Oryzias latipes: one gene and its partner. The protein of the gene in region 2 purifies or fractionates together with the protein of the main gene of each other region. This does not show direct contact. Links are inferred from orthologs where the notes say so. Each region holds a gene or a part of one and is shown on either strand. Other genes may lie near its edges.

Region 1 (12,646 bases), on a different chromosome or scaffold from region 2:
CGCGTCGTTGAACTCGCTGCGGCAGTTCTGACGCAGCGCGGTGCGCCCGCCGTTGGTGATGACGGCGTTGGTGCCGTGGAGGTGGTGGAAGCGCAGGTCGTTGGTTGCTGTGGCTCCAGCTACTGAGCAGGGACTGCCAGGGGACATGGCTGTGGGGCCCTCGGAGCTGTCCTCCGGCAGAGGGGGGAGGTCTGCCAACAGAGGCACAAACATGAACCACTGTGGAACCACCACCACCCCCCCCAAAAAGTCCTTTGACTCACCCATGTCGTCCATGATGGTGGCCTGCGCCGCCTGACCGTAGAGGTCAACCACAGCGTAGACGCTGGGTGGCACGTTCCAGGCAGCGGGGCCCTGCGCCACGCCATTCACGAAAAAATGGAGGCTGCCGTCTTCTTTCCGAACGACGCCGACTGTGTCGCCTGCCTGCACGGGCAAGAAAAATGTCAAAACAATAAATACCCCAAAGACCAACACTGATATCTACTAACACCTACTTTGAGTCGATCCAGGTTGTGCCCATATTCGTCTAAAATGGTCGTCCCGTTGTGCATCACGCCGTTCCCCGTCATCATCCACGTCCCTGAAAACATCAAAAGATTAGCCTCCGACTAGCCGAACCGACCTGCTTTAAAAAAAGGCACCGCGGTCGTTCACCTGAGCGTAGATTGGTCATGGTGGAGGGCAGTTGCAGGTAGGCGGGGTTGTGCGTTGTGACTCCAATTTCAATGGAGCCCGCCCACTTGTCGACCATTTTGTCAATCCGCACCTGGAACACTTCGTTGGAGCGCAGCGGCCGACTGCTCAGAACCACGCCGTGGTTAAAATCGTCGGTCGCACTGAAACAATCAGCGGCGTTAACCTGGATCACCGATTCAACCCTATTGAAATATTTAACAAAGTTCTGCAAAAAGAACAAATAAAGCTCACTGCGGCCGTAACGCGGTCCGGCCCTCGCAGATGATGGCGGCCTTCTGGCCACAGTTGGAGTGAAAGAGGAGACGGTCGGGCGCCTCGGCGTCCGGAGTGAGCGACAAGCCGGGCCGGGATCGCCCCACGTCTGGCGACAGAGCCCGCATGATGGCGTTGTTGCGCCTGAGGCGGTCGCTGTGGTTGTGGTTGTGGACTATAGTGACTTTGACAGCCATGCCGTAGAGGTCCACCACTCCATAAACCACCGCCGGAGTCTGAGCTGCAGCCACACCTGGTGACAAGAACAAAATCCATTACAGCGCATTAAAAAGGCTTCGACTGATGCCAGAAGTTTGTCACTGGTCCTTGAGAGCCTCAACCCCGCCTGGTTTCCAACTCGATGCTGACAACCTAAACCAGGTGTTTTCAGTCAATCAGGATGTGGAATTACTCGAGTTAGCCGAGAGCTGGTCAGGCAGGACTGGAAGACAGGCAGGGTTTAGGCTTTGAGGACCAGGGTTGGCCAGCCCTGGCTTAGAGCAACAACCTTCAGCACAGAAGGAGGACACTCGGAGTGGGTTTTTAGGACGAATTCATGAAAGTTTAAGGGTTTCTGAAGGAAGGCTGCTCCAGCCATGCACCAAAATCTATTAGCTCCTCCCCCTTAGACTGAGCCACCAGAACAGAAAATGTGTTTGTCTGTTTTTTTACTTCTCATTAAAAAAGCTTAATCTGTTACTATTGTCAATTGATTACGTCAATGACAACAATACATGACAGCAATGTTCTAAAAATAGATTATCAGTTTTCAAAATAAGAGGACATCAAAACTAGGGAAAAATATGAACATAAATAATTTTATGAGGCAAAACTTTAGATCACATCAAAATACTCGCAGATTTGTTTTCTTACAGCACTAACAACAAACTACTACATCATTGCCTTAGAAATAGAGTTTTATTGTTTTTTGTTGTTTTTTTGCCTTTGGAATTTAGGTTGAGAGAATATTTTTACGCACTTTGAGTTACACAAGTGTAAAAAGCGTTTTATAAATAAAGTTTGATTTGATCGCACCAAATGCTGAAAGTTTCTGTTCACAGTGTACCAACGAAACAAAGGTGCGTAAATACCGCAGGTTTTCTGAAGCCTCACCTTGATCGATGCCGTTTATGTAGAAATGCAGCGCGCCGCTGGCTTTACGCATCAATCCTATGTGATCGCCCTCCTACGAGCAAAGTATGTTAAAAGCAGAGCGGAGAGCAGGTGACGTTCAAAGGCACGTTTGTTCCCGTCGGGCCAAACCTGGAGTTCGTCTAGGCTGAATTCACAGTATTCTCTGCGGGTTCCTTTCCCGTTGGTCAGAATCCCACAGCCACTCATCATGATTGTACCTGATGGGGAAGCCAAAGCCACGCTGTCACACGACTGGGTTTGGAGCCTTTCGTTCCTGTCAGCGTCTGGGCGCCTACCTGAGCGCAGATTGGTCATAGTTGCGGGATAGTCCAGGTTGTTGGGGTTGTGCGTGGTCACACCGATCTCGATCGACCCCGACCATTTGTCCACCAGCTTATCGATGCGGATCTGATGGTGAGCAAGAGATGGGCGTCCCATCAGCAACAAATGCAACCAGTGGAACCAACTGAAGAAAGAGGTCGGATTGTGCCGTTGACTGTATAAGAGAACTGGACTGAGCGAGAGTGACGTCACCCATAGAAAATGGTTCCCTTTTGGTTCCAACCAAATGACTTCAGTCGCCATTATTGTCTATACAAATGTCGCCATGTTGGAACCAGAAATCATCAGTAAGCAGCGATTGGTCGAAGTCGGTTTAAGTCGACATTTCTATGGCAACCACGCTTGCCATTTAGGAGTGAGCTGGCTGAGAGTGCACACCACCACCACTTGGGAGCGGACTCGGGAGAATCTGCCAAACGCTCTGAATGTTTTGGTGAGACCACAAACTTTTACCGAGGCATCTGATTGGTCAGTTTAAATGGAATACCTTAGCAAGAACATTGGTTATTCTGACTAAAAGAACGACTGAATAATAGCCGTTTGTTTTTTACTAGAAGTCTATGGGACTTGTCTTCTTGGAGCCAGCAGGTACTTCCTGTTCGGATCGCCAGGGGGAGGGGTCACTCAATCCAGCTATCATATACAGTCAATAGGTTGTGTACACGCCTCGAACATCTCGTTGTGTCGCAGCGGCCGGTTGGTCATCACCACGCCGTTGTTGAACTCGTCCAGCGGTCTCCGCCTCTCCGCCGTTTTGTTGTTGTTGCTCAGTTTGATCAGGGTGCCGCACTTCTCGTGGAACAGCAACGCATCATTGGTGGTCATCCCTGTCACGGCTCCAAGCCCCGCCCCTCCATTGCCGACGGGGCTGTTTGAGCTCCCGTCTCCTCCTCCTGCTGCTGCAGCTCCCCCACTGTCACTGTGTGTCGTGCCTCCTCCACCGCTGCTCCCTCTGTCGCCTCTGGAAGAGGAATCGGATCCTGCGTTTCCTCCTCCTCCCCCCTCGACACCTCCTCCTCCTCCTCCTGTCCCACCTCCTCCCCCATCTACCCCTCCGCCCTCATCTTCAGAGCGATAAAACGATACTATTGCATTGTTGAAGACGTCGAAGAGCTGGTGCTCTGTGAGAACTGAGGACAGAGTGGCGCTCGTCAGACCTGCAGTGCTCCTCCTGATGGGAGATCTCAGGTGGATCTTCTTACCTGTGTCGGGCTCCAGGTTGTTGGGGAACTTGTCTGGTCTGTTGTGGTTACAGGTCAGCTCAGGCACTGGCAGAGTGAGAGTCACTCCAGATCAAACAATCGAAGATAGAATCAAATGATTTAAAAAAACAAGTCTCCTTACCTTCATCTCCGTTCATCACTTCATTCAATGCTGCCACATTCATCAGTGCTGCGATCCCCCCATTCTCCCGAGCACCACACACCACCAACTCCTCCTCCGCCTCCTCCTCCTCCTCTTCTTTCTCCTCCTCATCTCGCTCTATTGTTTCTCTCTCCATCTCTGCAGGAGGCGGCTCGCAGCTCACCACCGTCACCTGGGTGCACTTCCCGTACAGGTCCACCACCGCCCAGAGTCTAGGCGGCAGGCCGCTGGCGGCCGCGCCGCAGTCCTGCCCGTTCACCCAGAGGTGGAGCTCTCCCCGGGAGTTGCGCTGAATGCCCACGCGGTCGCCCTCCGCCAGCTGGTCGAGGTCGCGGCCGTACTCCTCCAGGACGGAGCGGCCGTCACGGAGCACAGAGCAGCCCGACACGATCCAGGAGCCACCCTTCAGGCCCGTGGCGCTGCTGGGGAAGTCCAGCGCGGCGGGGTCCAGAGCTGTCACCCCGATCTCAATGGAACCGCTCCATGAGTTCACCTGCAGGGAGACGGAGAAAAGATGGAGGCTTCCACTAAAAAAGAAAATCCAACTTCATGCAGTTTTTGGTTTAAGTAGCATCGCACAAGATGCAGACATTTAATGGCTTTTAAAGCAGTTTTTAATTAAAGTGGTGGGGGTAACAAAGAGTGAAGCCAAGGTTTTGGCAGCTTTTTTACTTTATTTTGGCCTGAACTGCTGATATTCTTTCAGACGAGGCTGATGTTGAGAACAACAACAAGGACATTTTCTGTTTTTTTAAAAATAAAAATATAGCAGATCTGCATCTTAACGAGCTCCAGATTGTTTTGTAAATGAAGAATTTTACAAAATAATGACAGGAAATGTTTTTTTTTATCTTTCAAATGTTCACATCAACACAATGTCTGTAAAAAAAGAAAAAAAAAAATAAAGTTTGCCACAATGACAGACGCCTTTCTCTCATTTTTTGTTTTTGCACGCTTCACCGAAGCTGCTTCTGTTCCCCCCCCAAAAATGAAGAAAGTAATACTTACTGACATTGCAAAACATTTGCGCTTTAAATAAATTATAAAATATCCATCAGTAGTAAGAAGGCATGCAAACATTACGCGTTTTAGGTTTAATTGCTGACATTTTAAATGCTTTCTTTAGCAAGGGAGGAGGTGTGTGATGAAGCTCCAACAGTATAGAGACATAATATTTAAAAATGATGGGGCTGCAATCGGTGATAAAGCTTGTGTAAAACTGCAGCGGGATGAAAGCAAGTTCTAATTCTTTTTTTAAAAGAGCTTTGCTGTTATTTTTAGTCTGCAGTGCATCTTCATACTCAGGAGGAGCATCTTTGAAGACAAAACACTGAAATAAATGACAGAAAATGACACGCAGTAAAGCACATTAAGTCCTTGCAGTTCTGTACTTCTATATAAAAAAAGGAGCTAGTCACAAAAGCTGAAACATCAAATATTGAAGGTGACTGATCGTGACGTTACTCTGATTGTAAGGTCTCCTGACGCTTAGTAAGAAAAAGGACTGGATTTCACACGAGTGAATCACGTTTTCCCCGTAACTGTGCTCTTCTATTTGAGCAGAGTCAGCCAAGCTGCAGCAAACGGAGACAGATAAAAAGCCAAGCAGAAAACAACACACACATTTTTAGAAAATGACAATAAACAACGGAGAAAAATCATCTTTACCCCTTACCATCACCCCAACTGAGAGCTCCACGTTTACACTCTGTCCCACTAGCTTACAGCCTTTCACACACCCCCACAACAAAAATGATGAAGCAATAATCCAGATGTACAGTTTGGAGTCAGAGACCAGCCGAGACGAGATAAAACAAAGACGTTTATGGATCTAGACGTCTGCAAAAAGATGCATCGGAATGGAGCGGCCCCACCCTTAATTTCTACATCACAAATACGAGCTTTTCAAACCATGTTTCTTTTTGTCTGCTCCCGATTCACAACGATCTGAATAAAGAGAGACTAGACTAAGCTTCATTTTCTTTATCTATGTCCTCCAGCATCAGAAAAACGCCACAAGAACATGTTAAAAACTCAAAAAAACAACATGATTTGCATGATCAGAGTGGGTCTGTGGAGCCCCGTAAGCGTATGCAGAGGGAACTCCTGGCAGCCTGCAGATAAAGCAGCCAAACCAGGAGCTTCTAGCAGGCAGCATTCAGGGGGGAGGGACAAAGTTAAAATTAATAAAACCCCTGTCTGTTCTTTACTTTTCACTCCAGCTGATCAATTTTACATAAAAATAAGATTTCAACTCGTCAACGTCGGTTTAAAACCCAGATTGATGCATTTAATAACCAGATCATTGAATCCATTAGGTCAATTTGCACACAAGAGTTACACACCAATAACAACATGTCTGTCTTTATTTAATTTCAGCCTTTAAGCCCCAACTGTGACACCAAGCAGATCTTGTTTACAAATGGATGGAAGCTTTTTGGTGCTAAAAAGGTAAATGGCTGGGGGGTGAAAAGGCTCGACCCACCCTGTCAGTCACAAAATGAGACAACAACAACAATGATCAGTTCAGTAACATCCTCTGAGCCCCTTCAGCTGGGCGGTGCTGCTAGCATCCCTCTGGAAACCTGGGCAGCACCGACTTCTTTCAAAATTGCAAAACTAATTTTTATTATTATTATTATTATTATTATTTGTATTTATTTTTTAACCATTGTGCTACTGTTGTGTTTGAATAGAAGCGACAGTTTTCATTTTTTTAGAAGCGACACCCGTTCTAGAAAGTCAACAACAGCTAGCATCTCATTAGCTAGCTAACTAACCTACGGTTATCGCGAGCCCGGCGACCAGTTTACCGTACATCCGAGCCGAGGGTGCGGTTGTCGAGTCACCGCGCCGCCGCTGCGGCCCCAACAGTCCCCCGCCACAACAGGTAGGCGGCCTGTAGAGACGCGAAGAGCGGCAGGGGGTGGCAAGATGAAACAGAGCCGGGTTTATCCACTTACAGCCCCCACTGCTGCTCTGAGTGACCACCGGCGCTCGGGGTGGCAGAATGCAAAGCATCGGGCCCGCGCTTGTTTACCTTCTTGTCGATCCGGACGGTGAAGACATCCCGGTCCCTCAGCGGCTCCTTGCTGAGCACGAGCCCGTGGTTGAACTCTTGGACTGGCTGGTTTCGCCGGGCGGTTCGGTTCGAGTTGGAGAGGCCGATCAGCTTTCCGCTCCGCGGGTGCAGCTCCGCCGCCATGTTCAAGGGGGGCGGCCAGAAATCACGACACTCTGGTTTTGCGACAGTAACGTTACGTTAGCCCGATGTGCTAGCTGCCGAAAGTCGCGCTGGATACTTAGCGCGGGAAAGAGGTCACTTTACTTCAGCAAATTCAATGAACAAAAGTTATTTAAGAATGTATCATATTTATAAGGAATTTTCTTTGAAATTCTTTAGAAATACAGTAAAAGAAGATTCTTGTTTCGAAATAAATGGCAAAATATCACATTTACAAATAAGTGGAAAGCTGACTTTGTTTTATAATTACATTTTTTATATTAACCATAAGTGACTCAACTAACAAAAAGGTGTTAAAAACAAATTTTAGAAAGTGACTTAATTTAAAATCCTATAAGCCTTGCATTATTATATTGTGTTTATTTTGTTTTATCGTCTGTTGTTCTGTATTTGCATCTTTTGAGTGAAGTTACTATTTATTTTTTGTCAATTTGCTGAATGTTAAGCCATGTTCTGTCATGTTCAATCGTTCAGTAAATTATTAAAAATGGAAAAGAATTCAGCAAATTCAGATTTTTTTGGAAGATTAATGATAAGACAGACACTGTCCACTGTGGATTTATATTCAACTATTGAATGAAAACACTTAAAATAAACTTGAACTGTCCTTTTGTTAGTTATATAATGGAAAAAACATCAGAAACGCAGTGCTACCAGGGGCGGAGCTTTGGGGGGGCAACTGCACCCAACAAAAAATTTGGCCCCACCCCACTTGCCCCCATATTAGTCAATATTAGTATAATTACTGACAAAGATTAGGTAATCATCAATACAAGCCTTCTTTAAGCGTTAGTAATAGCACCTCAGCTATTACTCAGTTTTTGATCTTTTAATTTGCAATTCAATTCTATAATAAAATTATTAGAGCATAATTTTAATTACATATACAAAAATATAATCTGCTCTCTTTGTGGATCCCCTCAGCAAAGTAGTGTATTTACGTTTATATACCATCTATAATATAGACAGTATATAAACTTAAATACACTACTAACACGGAACATTTTAGGTTTACAATATATATATTGTAAACCTAAAATATTCCATGTTAGTCTAAGTAAGTATTCAGTTACTTTCTACACTATAAGTACATGGTGTACAATAGGCCTGCACAATATATCGCTAATTTATCATTATCACAATATCAAGCTGTGCAATACGCAGATCGCAAAAGATAAAAAATAAATAAATAATTGCACTAAATGGTAACCTTAAATATCCTTAAACAATCTTATGGCAGCTTGAATTATTTAATGAATTAAATAAATCCCTTTATGCATTTGACCAATCAGATGGAGCCCTTTCATGTTAGATGTGCACCTCCTATTTAAACAAAGATCATTTGAAGTGTAATTTAAGTTATGTTGACTCTTATTTAATGAAAACTCTTGCAATAACATGGAAATGATATATTTAGTTGTTTTGCTATTTGTTTATGTAATGCAAGATATATCCTCATCACAATATTAAGCACTAATATCCCAAATTGCAAGTTTTCCTCATATTTTCCAGGAATTTTTTGCTTTAAATGTTTTAGTTTAGACATTGTTTTAGTGAAGGGTACATTTTTTGTTGTTATTTCAAATGCTTTAAAAACGCAACGTTGTTGATCCTAAAGACCTTCAAATCCTCTCCCGCCTCCATATCACACCCTCCACGAAGGAGGTTGTAAGGGCAGGGATGCCCAGTTTAGTTAGTCTGTTTAGTTAAAGTTTTAGTATTATCCTATTGAATTCTATGCATTCATGATCCTTTTTTGATTGTATTTTTACCTTACAATTACCGATATGAAGCCCATTGAGATGACTGTTGTTGTGAATTTGGGCTATACAAATAAAATTGAATGGAATTGAATTGAATTGATATCTGTGACGAATGACATCACCGTTCTTCTACATACAGACACATTCTCTGTTTGGGAGTGGACTTTCATTCCTCTCCTTTTTCAGGACAAACCATCAATTCTTATTTTCTTTCTCCTGAGGTTCTCATTAAAACTTAAACCATATGGAAAAATATTTTGATTTGGATTAATAAAATGTAGTTTCAATGGAAGGTCTGCAATAAATGTATACATTCTCAGAATCCAGCATAAACTAGTCTAAACCAGGGAACCAGTCCAGCTAATAATCTGTAGTTTATAGGTTAATATAAAGTTATGACGTTAAATTCTTAGGGTGAAAAAATGAAACAATTTGTGGGAAGTGGCTAAGAAAATACCCAATAATAATAATAATAATTACAATTATGTTGATAATTATAACCACCAGAATGGATTTATGATCGAAGTTTGGTCTGTTGTCTTCATCTTTATTCAATTTAAATATTTTAGAAGATGTGTTATGGACATTTTCAGTGCAGAAACGACTGAATATGTAAATGTTTAATAACTTGAAGATTTTTTTCCAACATAATAAAAAGAGTTAAAGCTGACTTGTTTTCAGTTCACCACTAGAGGGCGCAGTTGAATTGCTAAATCCCTCACTCTTTTGGTTTGAAAGCTTCTACCTCCTTTTCCCACATGCAGAAAAAATGTTTTAAGAAACTTTTCTCATTTATCCCCAACTTTCAGACATTCATTTTAAAATAATCCGGAATCACTGGAATCACCCCTGCTCCCTTCCAGGGGAGTAAGAAAGAGGAATAATACATGAATTGCACCGCACCAAACAGAGGCATGGAGAATTAAATGATAAATAATTGATCACTATATATGGGGTAAAGAGAACTAGAAGAGAAGATTCCAGTTGGCTCGCCCGTGCTCCTGTACTTGGCCGTTGACCTCGCCACTGGCTTGTCTTGCGCTCCCTGCTGTTTTTCAGTTCCATATGGAGTTTTAGGAGGTTTTCTTTACCAAGAAGGGATGCCCAGTTCAGTTTAGTCTGTTTAGTTTAGTTGAGCAATTACCTATTTTTTCACGACCGATTTCATGTTCTTATAGAATTACCGGTATGAAGCCCATTGAGACGACTATTGTGAAATTGGGCTACATAAATTAAATAAAATTGAATTGAATTCTAAAATAAAATAAAAATTAATGCAAAGAGTTTCTAAGAATTAGATTTAATAATGAGGGTAATTTATGCCCTTTGTCTCAAAACAATATTGAAACCCAGGAACATTTTTATGGTTGTAATTTGGTTCATTATTTTGGCAGGATTTACATGATTGGCTTTTAACAAAAAGATATTCCTTTGTTTATATGTAATATCATTCAATTTGGTTTTATGCACAAAAACATATTCAATTCTTAGCTAACCGCTTGACGCCTGAATTTATTTCCAGCTTTAAAAACTAATCACTTATGTTTTTTCTTTCAATTAGATGCTAAATTCAGGTGAATTTGGAGTAATTTTGCATATGTGGATCAACAGGCATAGAAGGGGTTAATTATTTGATCTTTTTAGGAACATTTTTTTAATTATGAATGTCATTTGATGAAACTGAGCACCGATGTTTTCTTTTAAAAACAACTACAATCACAATCTGTTCTGTAGATCCCTTCAAAAATCATGAAGTAATAAAAAAATATAAAACTCTCAGATTATTTATCTGTTGACGTAAACAATTGCATTTTTCCATTTTTAGTCGTTTTTTTTATTGCTTTCACTTAATACAATCTACTTTGGTCTTTTTTTATGCATTTAGATTCTGATGGCTGCTACTTGGTCTTTGTTCAAGTGTTGAATTTTTGGTAGGTAATAGTTTCCATGTACAGTAGTTTGAGTGATTAAATGTTTGGAAATGTAAACCAAAGGAAAAAAAGCAACAAAACTTCTCTCTTCTAGCCGTTCTCCATCTGTTTATTCACATCTTTCATTAGGATTTTATAGAGTTTCCAGACCAGCTTTAAGGTCTTCATTTTTATTTTGTGTCTGGACTTTATAACAGATTATTTTTCAGTCTGATGGTGGGTCTATCGTTCTGTTTAGACAGAATAAAGGCATCAGCTGCTGCTGACATGCAGCGCATGCTTTTGTTGTTTTATGCAGGGCAGCTGTGAGAGGAGATGGACATGTGCTTGACAGCTAAATCCAGATCCAAATCCCTTCCCTGGACTTGGATCTTTTCCAGACAGCCTGTCAAGAAGTGGGAGCCGTCCTCACCTTCACCTGATGAATGAAAAAGAGGAAGAGGAGAGAACGTTAGAGGGGACTGCACAGCCCGAGACTATCAACTCAATGGATTTTCTTTTAAAAAAAAGAGAATCCTAATTTTTTCCATCTCACTTGTAAACACTTTTTTAAGTTTGTGCTCTCAATAAATCAGTTAGAAATGTGACATTTTAAAAATCCATGCATTACAAATGTTTGATCTCACCTAAAAGACCCCCAATTGCGAGAAGACCCTCTCTCCAAGTTGTCAACTCTGGATTGACGGATAATGTTGTGCTTTGTGATTCATCTCCGTCTTGAAGCACTTTCAGTTCACTTTTCGAGAACGTAATGAGTAGTTTCTTGAAAGTGCTTTTCAAAATAAACTTCTCCTCCCTGAAACTGACTGTGAGCTCCTGAGAATCAGAGGAAAAGAGACAAACGTGGTTATCCCATCTTCTCGTTTCATCTATTTGCAAAACTTTGGTTTTACACAAAGTTTTAGGACTTAAGGTGAACTTTCAGATGTACCTCTGTGTTCTTACTGGCTTCCACCCTAAACTCCAGTTCTTTTTGTAAAGGCTTTATGCTCAGAATGGTTCCATTCATCTGACGGAAATCCGCCCAAAGCTCAACCCTGAGCGCAGCATATTCATCAGTCTGAAAAACTTTAAATGAACAAAAGTAGGTCACAACAGTAAAAGAAATGCAGTTTACCATATTTTTCAGAGTTTAAGTTGTGTTTTTTGCAATAGTTTGGCCAGGGGTGAGACTTATACTCAGGATTGACGTATATGTGATTTAAAAAAAAAGTATTGGTTCGTATGGATTACTGGTTGCCCTCTAGCGGTTGTTTCCCACTAACAACCACTAGAGGGCATCGTCAGTATTTGCTACTGACAGCAACGCAGAAGAAGAAGTGCCGTCCAAAACAAACATAGAGGAGAATATGATCGTTCTCCTCCTGAACTTTACAATATTTTTTCTGATTTGGATCGAGACATTGTTGCTCTTGATTTTATTGTTTAATGTGGGACAACAAGTCATCAAACTGGCTTACAGGGAGACAGAAGTACAGCTGAAAAAAAAAAAAAGACTGAATGATCTCATAAACCAGTCATGATGACTTGTTTACTGATGTTTTTGTTGAACTCTTCCAAATAAATAGACCTAAACTCTTAACATTATTTAACATTATCCGTGTCTTCCATCCATGTAAATAAGATATTCAGCTTCCATGAAGCGATAAAGCTAAAAACGTGACGACGCACATGAAAAGAGGCAGTGGACGTAAATTTAATGCGCGTTGAAAAAGAGGCAGAAGATGCAAATTTTATGTGCATCAAAAGAGGTGGCAGATGTTTATTTGATGCACGTCAAAAACAGGCAGGGGATGTTAATTTGACACGTGTTGAAAAAAGGCAGCAAACGCTACTTTAATGTGCATCGAAATAGGCAAAGGACGCTAACTTGATGCGCGTGAAAATAAAAGGCAGCGGATGGGAATATAACACGC
Region 2 (12,578 bases):
ACCAAACCTGTGCAGCTCTGGTGCCATCTAGTCGAGAGAGTTTAGAAAAGTTTATTGAGGAAAACAACTAAACAACAACATTCCCTTTCTATTTTTTCTTTTTCTTCTTCTTAGGAGGTTCTTGATCTGAATCGCTGCTGCTCCCCGAGTCCGAGCTGTCCGAGGATGAAGAGGAAGAGGATGTTGTGGATGAAGACGAGGAGCTGTCGCTGTCGCTGCTGCTGTCGCTGTCATCAGAGGAAGAGCTGGAGTCGCTGCTGTCAGATGAGGAGTCGCTGGAGGAGTTTCCTGAGGCCCCGCTGCCGTCGTCGGCGTCTTTTGCTCTGGGAGTCAGAGGGGCAGCACAAAGCAAAGACATAAGTGAACAGAAGCGTGTGCAGCTTCACGCGTCATGCTGTGCTTTCCGTGTTTCTGCCGTGGAATCAGGCAGCAAACAAACAAAAATGTTCAGGAAGACACGGCCAGTCTGTTCTGGTTACCATCAAGCTCAATGTCAGCTATTATGTCACAGACTGTCCAGTATCCTATGAAGAATAAAGTCACTAAACGAATCTTTTTTAAGATGACTTGAGCTGCACAACGGCCATGCCAAGCAGATTCAGGTCATTTTTGGACGCAAGCATTTGTGCGACTATGTTCCATTTACACTGACTTTGGTGTTATGCTGTTAAATATGTTAAAAGAACAGACAGAACTATTTTATACATGATCAAAACAAAACCTTATCTGTCAAAGAATGAATAAAAAATTAATACATTTAAAGATATAATAAATTCTAAAAAGTCTAAACATTGACATGCTCTCTACTCCCTGGAAGTTAGAAGAAAACTAGATAAGAAAAAAAATCACTTTCAATTAGTTAACTTGATGAAGACCATATGTAGTTGCGTTTTTTAAATTTTTTTTTTTTTTTTTACAAACAGCATTCGGATTTCAAGAAAGACTTAAATTTTGTTTCCCAACTATAAGAGCTGGAAACCTGTAGTAGCTAGAATAATCCACTAGAGGGAGCCAACACCCAGAATAACTTTGACAACTAATATTAATGAAATTATAGTGGTGTGTTGATACTAAAATGATAATATTCATCTGTTGTCTCCTCTTGTCTGTTCATTTGAAAGTGAAGCAAATTAAAATCATTTATTTTATGAACACTGTTCTGACATGAAACACATAAATATATACCACACTCCTGTCACCTGGAAAAATCTACTTCACAATGCTGGCAGTAATTCTGTGAAAGTTTTTACCTCTGATCTTTACACAAAGAATTCCCTCCATTCTGCTTCTCCTGATGTTGTTGGAAATCTCCTCCTATCTTCTACATTATTCTTAAAACATCTTTTAAATTTAGTTCAAGTCAGGGTCTTACTAGGAACAAATATTTCACATGAAAACTAAACATGAAGGATGTCCACATAAATGCGCTTCACTCATAATGTTAAGTGAATTTTACTGCAGATGTGATTTTTTTTAACCTTATGCTTGAAGAACTGGCAGGTTAGAACATGTAGTTATTTAGAAAACTGCCTTAAAAAACAAAGTTTAATTAACATCTGGCAATTCCTACTTACTTCTTTTTGAGTTTCTTCTCGTGTGAACCTTCCCTTCCTGGTCTGTGAACAGAAAGGAGTTTCATTTAAACCTGAAACAAAAATGAAATGGGGAAGTTCTCCGTTTTTGGTTGCCCCCTTTAGGGGTCACCACATCATCTGCAGGGCTGCTCAATCCTGGTCCCAGAGATCTACCACTCTGCCTGTTGTCCAGACCTCCTAGCTGCTGATTAGCTCAATCAGACGTCTCCACATTCAGACGAATGAACACACCTGGTCCAGGTGATCCGCAGCAAAAGGAAAATAGGCAGGGTGGTAGATCCCCGAGGACCAGGCCTGGTCCAACCCTCTCCTCTGTATTTTCCTCGCTTACATGAGGACTGCCATCATGCCTTCCTTAACTCCATCCATGAACCTTTTGATCTTTCCTAGTAGCTCCGACCTCAGCATCAATTTACCAACATATTCACTGTCCCGCCTTTCAATGTGTCCAACCATCTCAATCTCTTTCCCTGCATTGATCCCCAAATCATCTAACTTCAGCCGTTCCTCTAATACAGGGGTGTCAAACTTATTTTGGGCCACGTCAGCATAGTGGTTGTCCTCAAAGGGCCAGATATAACTCACACATGTAACTAAATGTAATGACAAATGAATGCAACTACTCCTTAATGTTAAATAACTCATTTATTTATTATAACATTTTAAAGTGACAATTACAGTTGCAAAGAAAACATATGTTTGTTTGTTACTCTAGCATAAATCTGTTAAAATATTGTCTGCTTGTTAAAACCCACATAACTCCATTAATGAAGGATCAAACTGTCCAAGTGAGTAAAAATACAATAACATAAAACTGAGCTAGAAATAACTTTTTTGACACAAGCAACATTTTACAAAAACAAAGGCTGCACACAGCCTTGCATCCAACTGATTGTTTGATGACAACAATTTGTCTGCATACAGACCTGCAAACATTAAACTGCGCGGGGGATAGTGGGTATTCCAGCAGACCCAACGTATTGCACGGGGGATTGTGGGATGCGGTCCACTGGTCAGAATAGGGTTGAGAATGGGTGTTTCTTGTTGCCTACGTTTCTTTCCATCCATCAGTTTTGTTGTTCCACCCTTAGTTAATTCTTCCTGTTATGTTTGCTTCTTTTGTTGCACCGTGATTGTGGGGAGAGGAAAGGGGGATGACTCGTGTGCGATGTTCAACGTTCTGCGCGTTCAAATTAATTGGGCTCAATGCTGGAAAGCGGATTGCGCAATCAGCTTCTCGTTGGGAGTCATGCGGCATGCAGGGCAGACAAGTGTCCAGCGCAGTCAGTCAGTCAGTCAGTTGATGGACTGCTCCGCTCTCACTTTCCCGCTCCGAATGACGACCCAGCTGAATCGTTTCATTATTATAAAGGGGCTAATAGCTCAATAGAGATGGGTTTGTCTTTGAGATCCGATAGTGTAGATTGGAGCTCAACACTTATTTCCAAAAAATAAATAATTATACGCCTTTTTTTATTTTAAGAAATGAAAAAGTGGTATGCTCTCGCGGGCCACATAAAATGACACGGCGGGCCACATTTTGCCCGCGGGCCTTGAGTTTGACACATGTGCTCTACTATCACTTCATTCCTGATGCAATCCATCCTCCTCCCTCCAAAGAGAACCTCAACATCTTCATCTTTGCTCTTCTTGTCAGAGTCTCTCAACCAGGGGTGTCAGAATCCACACCTTTCTTTTGACCAAATGTGTTTTGTTGTTTTACTGTGTTATTTTATCCTGTTATGTTTAATTCTTTCTGCACCATGAGTGAGAGGGAGGGAGAGGAGGATGAGGTTATTTAGCAGCACTAGTACAAGAGTGCAGTCTAAGAACTGAAGTTACAGTCAGACTCATGATAATTAAAGGCATGGTATATATTGTAAATTCACACCATGTCATTCATTTTAATGTTATAGAAATGAGAAAATCTGCAGCCTCTAACTTAGACATATGAGAGTTCAAGAAGTACCATAAATTGAGATGGAAAAACATTTAATTGATTTGGAGTAATATGACATTTAGTTAGATAACTATGTAAATTTGAGTTCTAAAAACAATTAGAGTTTTATAGACGTAAGAAATTAGGTTGAATAAATTTAATTCCATCACTTGTTACCATTTGAATCAATTTTTTTAAGTTCGATAAGTTTTATTTATATACGTCACAATGTCATTTTAAATAAGATCAGAAACTTGTGCGTTTATTTCTCCGTTCTTTTTCTCCAAGCAGAAACTCTCTTTTGCTGATGCAGCCGTGTTACTTTTTGATGGGCGTATAATCTTCATACGCCGTCATTAAAATCTCAGACTCCGTCTCACTGAAGTATAGCGCTCTCTTTTGTTCTCCACGCGTTTCCATGGTGACTTGGGATATCGGCGATCCATTGAGAATGTCTTTATGTACCTGCTGTGCACGTGCGGTAACCCAGGGTTACCCAGTCGAGCGTAATTACGCCAACTCATATCCGGTCTTTTGGAACCGCCATACCCAGAGTAAGCAAGTTCAGGCGGATTTCAGCCAGAGTTCAGGCTTAAAGTCAGGGTAGTTTAAACATGCTTCCTGGAATACCCCCCTGGACTCTGACAACCATGCTCTAGTCCAGAGGTGGGCACTGAGGGCCGCAGTCCTGCATGTTTTCCAGCATACCCTGCTCTGGCATGTTCTGATTGGCTGGACACACCTGAACCAGGTAATCAGCCATGAGTAGGGCAAGAGTATCTGGAAATCATGCAGACACACCGGCCCTCGTGGCCTGGAATTGCCCACCCCTGCTCTAGTCTAAACCAACACTAAGGCTGTTCTTTCCATTGTCTTCTGCACCTTTCCTTTCATTCTTGCTGAAACTTTTTTGTCACACATCACATCTGAATCCTTCCTCAATCTGTTGCTTTGGACTGCTGACCTCTAAATACTTCAAGTCGTCCATCTTCTTCACCCCGGCTCCCTGTAATCTCACCAGAATCCTCCTCATTGTCCTTCTGAGATTGACCTTCACTCCTCTTCTTTCCAGAACAAGCCTACACCTCTCTAGATGTTCCTTCACTACAGAACACAGTGTCATCTGAAAACATCACAGTCCACAGAGATTCTTGTCTAAACCTCGTCTGTCAGTCTGTCCATCATCACATCAAACAATGAAGAGTTCAAGCTGATCCATTGTCCAGTCCCACCTCCACCTTGAAGTCTTCGGTCACACCTACAGCACACCTCACCAACCGCTCTACAGCCAATCTGGTAGAACAGTTCTGTCTGTGGTTCCGTTTTTGGATTTGGTTATGTTTTTCATATTGTATACAGTCACAACCTCCAGCATTTACAGACTTGGGATTCGCCACATGAAAGCATTGAATTGTGCCCCCTTGTGGTTAAATTCAAATTTAAGAAAGAATACAATTAGGATATTTAAGAAAAGAATAAGTGACCTTACCCAGTAATGCTTAGTGGTTTATTTTCGACTTCTTTCAATTTCTTTTTCATCTCAACTGTTCTTGATGGTCTGTGGACGTATTTTCTTTTGCCCGTACATTCATAGGTCCAGTGTCCCAACTCCAAACACTTTTGACATCGTACATGCTGTTTGTTTGCCTCCCTGTAGAAAAAAAAAAAAAGAGGTTTCAGATTCAACACTACAAAAGGAGTACGTTAAATGGGCCAAATCCATAAATACCTGGAAATACTTGATAGTTTTTCACAAGAAAATGTTTGTAATTGATCTTAGTGACGGAGGTTGAACCTCTGAATTTTTCTTTTTAAATATGAAGATGATATATATTGAGGCAGAGTAGCTTCCAAGTTCACAATTAGATTTAATTTGATTTTTTCCACTTTAAAAAAGGCCACTACAAATCCATTTGGTTCATAAAACAATTTTGGCATAAGTAAACCAAACCAAACTAAAAGAAAAATTCAATATTTTATATTACAGTGGATACTGATAAAATCTCATATTTTGAAAAGGATTTATAAAAGTCCTGAAAATTTTGTTTTTTCCTGCGTCAGATTCTTACTAAACCCAATTTTATTGAATTAATTGATTACTACCCAAGTAAGTGAACATAACACGGTCGGTGAGGCCATCAACGATTCACGAACTACTGAATTCTATCCCAACTTTTATGCAGTAAGCTCGTTCTTTATTAGATTGTACACAAACAAAATGTAGTTTTTCCGCCCCTTAATGTCTACTAAAATCCTCAGGAACGTGTGCGGTTGTATCGATAATTAGTTTGGGGCGTTAATGGCGGAAAACAAGTGTGAACAGCGAAAGAAGAAGCGCAGCATCTTAACTGTTTTTAAACAGTGAAATAATCGTTATTTACCGCTTCTATAGGATATTGCACCCAACAAAAAAGTGTAATTTATGTTTATCGATATGTTGTCTTCACATAAATTTGGTATGGAATCAGTAACGTTGTGATAACGAAAACATACTCACGCTTGTCTCCTGGCAATTATTCTGTGCATAGGAGTAGCCATGTTAAAATCTGATGCAACTTCTTCTGTGGTGTTTCTTCACAACGAGCTTCCGGAAAAGTTAATGTATTCAGCGCCCCCAGTGGTAAAAACGGATAAAGCTTTTTAAGGTCATGTTCATTTTTTCCCACTATTTTTGAAATTTTCATAACAAAAATTCTTTATAGTTTCCTTATTAATAAATGCGTTAAATTAATTTAATGCATTTATTAAGTAGAAATAATATTCAGTGGTTCTAATAATTCAACACAGTTACAACATCAATAGTACAAATAAGGAAATAAGCAAACATACAAACTACCTAGATGATGAGTTAAAGTTTGTACTTTTTCAGATTTAGTGTTAAAAATAGTAGATAAACTGAAAAATCATGTAAAAATGTATTTTCTTTTTTAGCAGCAGCAAGATTGTACATTCAACATTTTGATATGGATTTTAACTAGGCCTGCACAATATACCGCAAATTTATCGTTATCGCGACATCAAACTGTGCAATATGCATACCGCAAAAGACGGCAAAATCGCAATAAATGGTTACCTTGACCCTTGTGCTATCCTAAGCACTTTAACATTGGGAGTGGGGTCATCTAGACCCACTAAACAGTGCTCTGAACCTTTTTTCTTCTAGGATTTGTGATCTTCACTGGTGTCCATGGATTACATGAAATCTTTCCACCTTTATCCACCTTTGTCATGGTAGGAAGAACACGTCACTGTAAGGGGGGGTCATCTAAGATAGCACAAGGGTTAAATGTGCTAAAACAAACTCATGGCAGCTTGAAATATTGAATAAATGAAATAAATCCCTTTATGCATTTAACCAATCGGAAGGACTCGTTTACGTTGTTGATCAATCAAATGAGCCCTTTTATGTTTGATGTTTGCCTCCTATGTCGACAAGGGTCATTTGGAGTATAATTTTTATGCTGTTGCATTGAAATGGAAATGATGTTTTTGGTTGGTTTGATATTTGTTTATATACTGCAAATTATATCGTTATCGCAATATTAATCACCAATATCGCATATCGCGAGTTTTCCTCATATCGTGCAGCCCTAATTTTAACAAATTAATATATTTGAATTAGATGAAACAGATACGTTAAAACCTAATTGTCTGCCAATTTCAATATGATGCCAGTATTACCAAGTTAATTAATTGATACACATTCTTTGTACTATTGTAGTTGGGTTGAAGTACTGCAGTTTTGCTTGCATGTTTTGTTATGTTTTTGTACTTGTTTATGTTATTATTACAGTTGTTTTAATCTCATACTCATTATCATCATCATTTAGCTAATTTCTGACAAAAATAAATACAATGCATATTCTTATTAAAGTTGCAATTCGTTTGTTTATTTTTTTTTTATTTCAAATGTTTTTACCATGTATGTTAACAAAGAAAAAAATAAAACAAAAAAGCTTTCTCATAGGACTGTCTTACGAAAAAATTATTATTTGCTCTGAATAAAAAATTTAAAAAGCAAAATCTATGCCTATTGTAGACAAGATCATTTTCATTATTTAGGCTAACTTTGAAAAGCTTAAATCACAAAAGTTTTAATAACAAAAAGTATTATTGAAGATTAGAGTACAGTAGAATTTTATTTATATAAGAAGGGGCAGTGAATATACAGCAATAAAATAACAAGTTGGTCTAGACATGTGTTAAGTCTGTTTTTTTAAGTATTGCACGGTATAAAAAATATGAAAAACCTTCTAATTCTTGACTAAAAACACAGGCTACTTTAGACATTGATTTTTGTTTTGTATAGTTAACAATAATTTTTGATTTTTTGATTTGAAATGGTTTATTTCAAGCAATCAAATAGGAATAATACACAAAAAAACAATCCAATCGTCAGTTATACATTTATAAAATAACTAATCAAACTTAGTATAATTAGACATAAAATTAAGTATTGCTTGAAAGGGAGTGGAAGGAAGCGAATTTATATAATTCCACCCCTGTTCTACTGTAACCATTTTATTACATGATTTATCAATATCCGGTTCCTAGAAAGCACATGACAAAGATGAATTACTTAAATTATTTTGTAAAAAATAACTTTTAGAAATCAACATGGCAATGAAGTATCCAAAATATATGAAGATTATGTTACTTATAAAAGTCATTGATGTGAAATAAAAAATAATACTGTATCATATCAGTAAAATAGACAAAACACTGTTTCAGGAATTTTATATAATAGTTGTATATAATAGTTATATAATAGAATAATAGTTGACAGAACTGGTAAAAACGACTTAAAAAATAACATAAATGTCTTAAAACCTGGAGTGAACCAGAACGGTCTGTTATTCACTTGATGGTTGTGGAAAAGTCGAGAGACATCTAGAACTGCTCAACTCTCGCGATAATACCAAGCGAGAAGTTAGTAAAATCCCGTTGCCGACTGGAGCTTGTCAGCATTGACCAAAGACACCGGCACCAGACACCAGTGGTGATTATGAAAACTTCTATTTAACATCGCACTGAAAGACAACTTTACTCACTTCAGACCTTTTTTTTGTTTCATTATTTTTTCCTTGATAAGAAGCATTGGAGACAACCTTAAAGTTGAAAGACAAGCGAATCGTAAAAGATGTCAGTGGTGGGATTTGACTTGGGATATCAAAGCTGCTATGTTGCTGTTGCACGAGCTGGAGGAATTGAAACAGTCGCTAACGAGTACAGTGACAGATGTACACCGTAAGTAATAAATATTTTTAACTAGCGGCATGATTTTTTTTTAACCTGTCTGTGTGTGCTTGCTTACTTTCATCATGATGAGCAGCAGCTGGCTAGTAACCGTTCATCAAACTAGCATACAGAGAGAAAATAAAACAACCATTTAAACGCAGTTTTTCCCCCAAACACTAAATAGTCCTTTATAATTTAGATTTAATTTCGGCTTTTCGTCAATGTATTAACTACTGAGCATCGTTGAGCCGTTTGGAAACGATACGCTCGATTATTTCTTTTCTGCGGGCCGGTAAAAACCAGCTGGGCGGTGTTTCTCAAACAGTCAATGGTGTTCACTGGCTGTGCATCGCTGGGTGGCGTTAGCTCTCACTTGCCGGTTAGTCCCTTGAACAAGACATTCTGACCAGACTGGTGACGTCACAAACTCGTGTGTTAGAACATTCTAGTAAATAGACTTTGAACAGCCCAAAAACGTAAATGGTTGTTAAAAATATATATAAAACCATTTAAAGCAAATTCATTTGCCAAGTATATATTGTAAAAGTTAACTTAAATATGTCAATATATAAATGTATCTTTAAAAAAGTAGTAAATCGTGCGTTATTCTATCCACCTTCAAATCGTAACTCTCCATCCATTCATTGTGCTTATGTTTTTTTTATCGTTCATTGTCCCTGAGAGTCTCTAACAAGACATTTGTTATCAACGCCAGTTTTGCAGCAGCTGCACCTGACAGCCCCCCCCCCCCCCCCCCCCCCCCCTATGCTCTGTGAACACTACACTTCACCTTTTTAAATGTTGCTTTGGAGATTAATTACCAATAACAACACTTTATAAACGAGGTCAACATTTGCATTTCAGGAATGAATATTATTATTATTGTTATGCCAGGTAGTTCATTGTTTTGTGCCAAGTGAACTGGTCTTGATTTTTGAATATTATATAAAACACAATACCGGTAATTACTGACATGTTTCTGTTTGTAATAGACCATCAGAGCTACAATGTTTAAACAAAACACTTGTTTGTCTTGTCATTTTGTTTTTAATCTGATTTATATTTTTATGCAAAGCACTTTGAGTGACCTGAGTTATAAAAGTTCTATATAAATAAAGCTTGATTTGATTTGATAAGTTAACATTTTGCTTTGCTTTTCCAGGTCATTTGTATCATTTGGGCCACGAAATAGATCTATTGGAGCTTCTGCAAAAAGTCAGGTAAGTCACATCAGCTACTTTGCTATTCAGCTCAAACTTAAAAAAAAAAAAAAATTACAAAAAGAAAGAGATGGTAATAAAGTTGTGCCGTTTCTATGGTAAATCTCTTGAATTTTGTTCCCCGTTTCAGGCAGTGACCAACTATAAAAACACAGTTCAGGGCTTCAAGCGCTTCCATGGCAGGGCCTTCTCAGACCCCTACGTTCAGTCAGCCAAGTCCAACTTGGTATATGACGTGGCGCAGATGCCCTCTGGATCCACTGGTTTAAAAGTAAGATGAATATTTGCAGTTTCCTTTTGATTTCAGTTTGGATGCAATGAAGGGAAGAGAATATTTCCACTGCTATTCTCTGAGGAATTCAGTTGAAGAGACAAAAAGTTTCTTGGAATCTGAAATGAATCTCCTGTCAATCATACAGCTCTAGTGCTAATGTAACTCGGTGGATAAGCTTTGTTATCTTTGTGAAAAATATGCCATTTAAATACAAATATTTAGGTCCAATTATTCTGTTCACCTATGATGTTGAAAATGTTCCTGTTTTTTATTTAAAAAAAAAAAACAACATTAACCCTAATGTGTTTAAATTGTAGGTGATGTACATGGAGGAAGAGAAGGTTTACGGCGTTGAGCAGGTGACGGCTATGCTGCTCACCAAACTGAAGGAGACTGCAGAGAGCGCGCTGAAGAAGCAGGTCATTGACTGTGTCATCTCTGTAAGTATTCTTATTTAAAGCTTATAGTTGTTCCTAACATTAGTCTGAATACTGTGTGTACTTAATACAACTATTTTACTTTACAGAAAGAGAATAATTTTAATATGTGCCTTTGCACTGACCGGCCCTAAAGTTAAACTTAACTTTGTTTTGTGCAGAAAAACTTTTTAACAGTAAAGTAGCCTGTACTGAGTTCATTTTACGAAGGTTTCTAGGAGCTGTAGCTTCTTGACAAAGCAATAGAGGCCTGCAGAAATGGACTGCCACCTGTTCGTGTGACATGTTGGCGCATTGAGCACCAGCTGTCTTTGTGTGGAAGCTTTAGTTCCCCTCTTGGACCTTGTTTGTGAAGAGTGGGAAGTGTTTCGTGAGCTCACCGTGTGAACACAGCACCTGTTATGTAATCTTCCACATCTCGCACAGACAGACTGTTGCTTTCACCGAGCCTAAATCGATGGTTTACGTCAGCCGTGAGGATGGAGAACATGCCAACACTCTGTGCCTGACTGCAGCTACTTTTAGCTGTTGAGCCTGGCATCCTGACTCACCGAGATGAAATCCACCTTGTGGGTCCACACGTTTACATCCAATTTTGGAAAAGAAAAAGTGGCACATTCATCTGTTGGACAACTTTGGCTTAACTTCAACTAAACATATCTTAGTTTGGATCCTAAAAAATGTGGTTTGAATGATCAGAGCACTAAAATTCATTAATTTATTTCTTATCCTGTTGTTATTGTGTTTGATGTAAAAAATAAATAACTGCAGTAATGCTGTCCTGAGAATCGGCTGTGTTCATTGGTTAAAAAAATCGTCCGAAAACCTTAAAACCTTTTTATTTTTTGTTGTGTTTCTTTAAGAAAATGTCCTCAATTCAGGATCATTTCACTTCAGTGCTATACATTCAGCTCATCATCTACTTGTGACGTTATTCTTTTTCTTTTCAGGTCCCCAGCTATTTTACCGACGCAGAGAGGAGGTCTGTGATGGACGCCGCTCAGATTGCCGGCCTGAACTGTCTACGACTGATGAACGACACGACCGCAGGTACTGAGAAACCCAGAGAGTGAAAACCTGCATCAGAACCATAGGGATTCTGGGTTGTTCGTAGCTTCTTATTTTAGGTTTGGTGTTTTAGTGTTAAAGACTCACTCGGAACATCTTTTGTTCCATTTTCAAAGCGTTCCCAGTGGTCTTCAGTTATGATTATGCCATTTCTAGCCAAGATCAAAACATCTGTCATTTTGATAGGACATCGTTTCTGCACAGCGGCAGTAGTTCATTAGAAAGTCACTTGAGTTGTGGGAAGGACTGTTTCTATGTGATAAACATAGACATTTCATCTGCTCCTGATTCACAATTTGAACTCAAAAATACTCAGAAATACAAATTTTAGCTCAATTTTCTTGGTAAAAAGCCTCCATCATGAGAAAAAACACCATTAACATGGTTTTCATCCTTGTGGGTCTTCAAGAATTACTGACCAGTTTACAGTTTTTAAATCAGTGACCCCCGTTCATGTCCTGAAATCTTCAGATGGCGTCCAAAAGCAGCAGCTGGAAATGCTCACACTGGCTTGTTTGTCACAGTGACTCTGGCTTACGGGATCTACAAGCAGGACCTGCCAGCTCCAGAGGAGAAGCCCAGGACAGTGGTGTTTGTGGATTTGGGCCACTCCGGTTACCAGGTGTCAGTTTGTGCCTTCAACAAAGGAAAGCTCAAAGTGAGTCAATTATTGATGCCCTTTTATCTGAGACAGTTAAAGGTGCAGTGAGGGTCAGCTTTTGGCTGCAATGATACTGTTTGATTAAACAATATTGTCTCAATGATATAGAATAGAATATAAACAGAGTAACTTTGACGTAAAGAGTT

The links.
Region 1: the proteins of zcchc10 (region 2) and neurl4 purify together in Homo sapiens (co-immunoprecipitation; 3 studies listed by BioGRID and IntAct, with this or other methods). This does not show direct contact. The link is inferred for Oryzias latipes from reciprocal best matches to the Homo sapiens genes ZCCHC10 and NEURL4.

What each region holds. Positions count from the first base shown.
Region 1 is NC_019876.2:14,646,574-14,659,219, reverse strand, and holds the start of neurl4 (neuralized-like protein 4), read right to left. Parts: upstream 7,240-12,646; 5' UTR 6,998-7,239; coding exon 6,833-6,997; intron 4,286-6,832; coding exon 3,772-4,285; intron 3,696-3,771; coding exon 3,630-3,695; intron 3,558-3,629; coding exon 3,094-3,557; intron 2,494-3,093; coding exon 2,382-2,493; intron 2,304-2,381; coding exon 2,215-2,303; intron 2,138-2,214; coding exon 2,065-2,137; intron 1,205-2,064; coding exon 931-1,204; intron 840-930; coding exon 658-839; intron 584-657; coding exon 498-583; intron 427-497; coding exon 264-426; intron 192-263; coding exon 1-191. Other genes in the region: shbg (sex hormone-binding globulin), read right to left, coding at 11,021-11,148, 11,357-11,546, 11,662-11,798. UniProt on the Homo sapiens protein: Promotes CCP110 ubiquitination and proteasome-dependent degradation. By counteracting accumulation of CP110, maintains normal centriolar homeostasis and preventing formation of ectopic microtubular organizing centers.
Region 2 is NC_019872.2:6,662,987-6,675,564, forward strand, and holds the start of zcchc10 (zinc finger CCHC domain-containing protein 10), read right to left. Parts: upstream 6,151-12,578; 5' UTR 6,073-6,150; coding exon 6,032-6,072; intron 5,186-6,031; coding exon 5,024-5,185; intron 1,617-5,023; coding exon 1,575-1,616; intron 324-1,574; coding exon 89-323; 3' UTR 1-88. Other genes in the region: heat shock 70 kDa protein 4-like, read left to right, coding at 8,675-8,781, 9,935-9,992, 10,123-10,263, 10,584-10,706, 11,654-11,753, 12,296-12,429.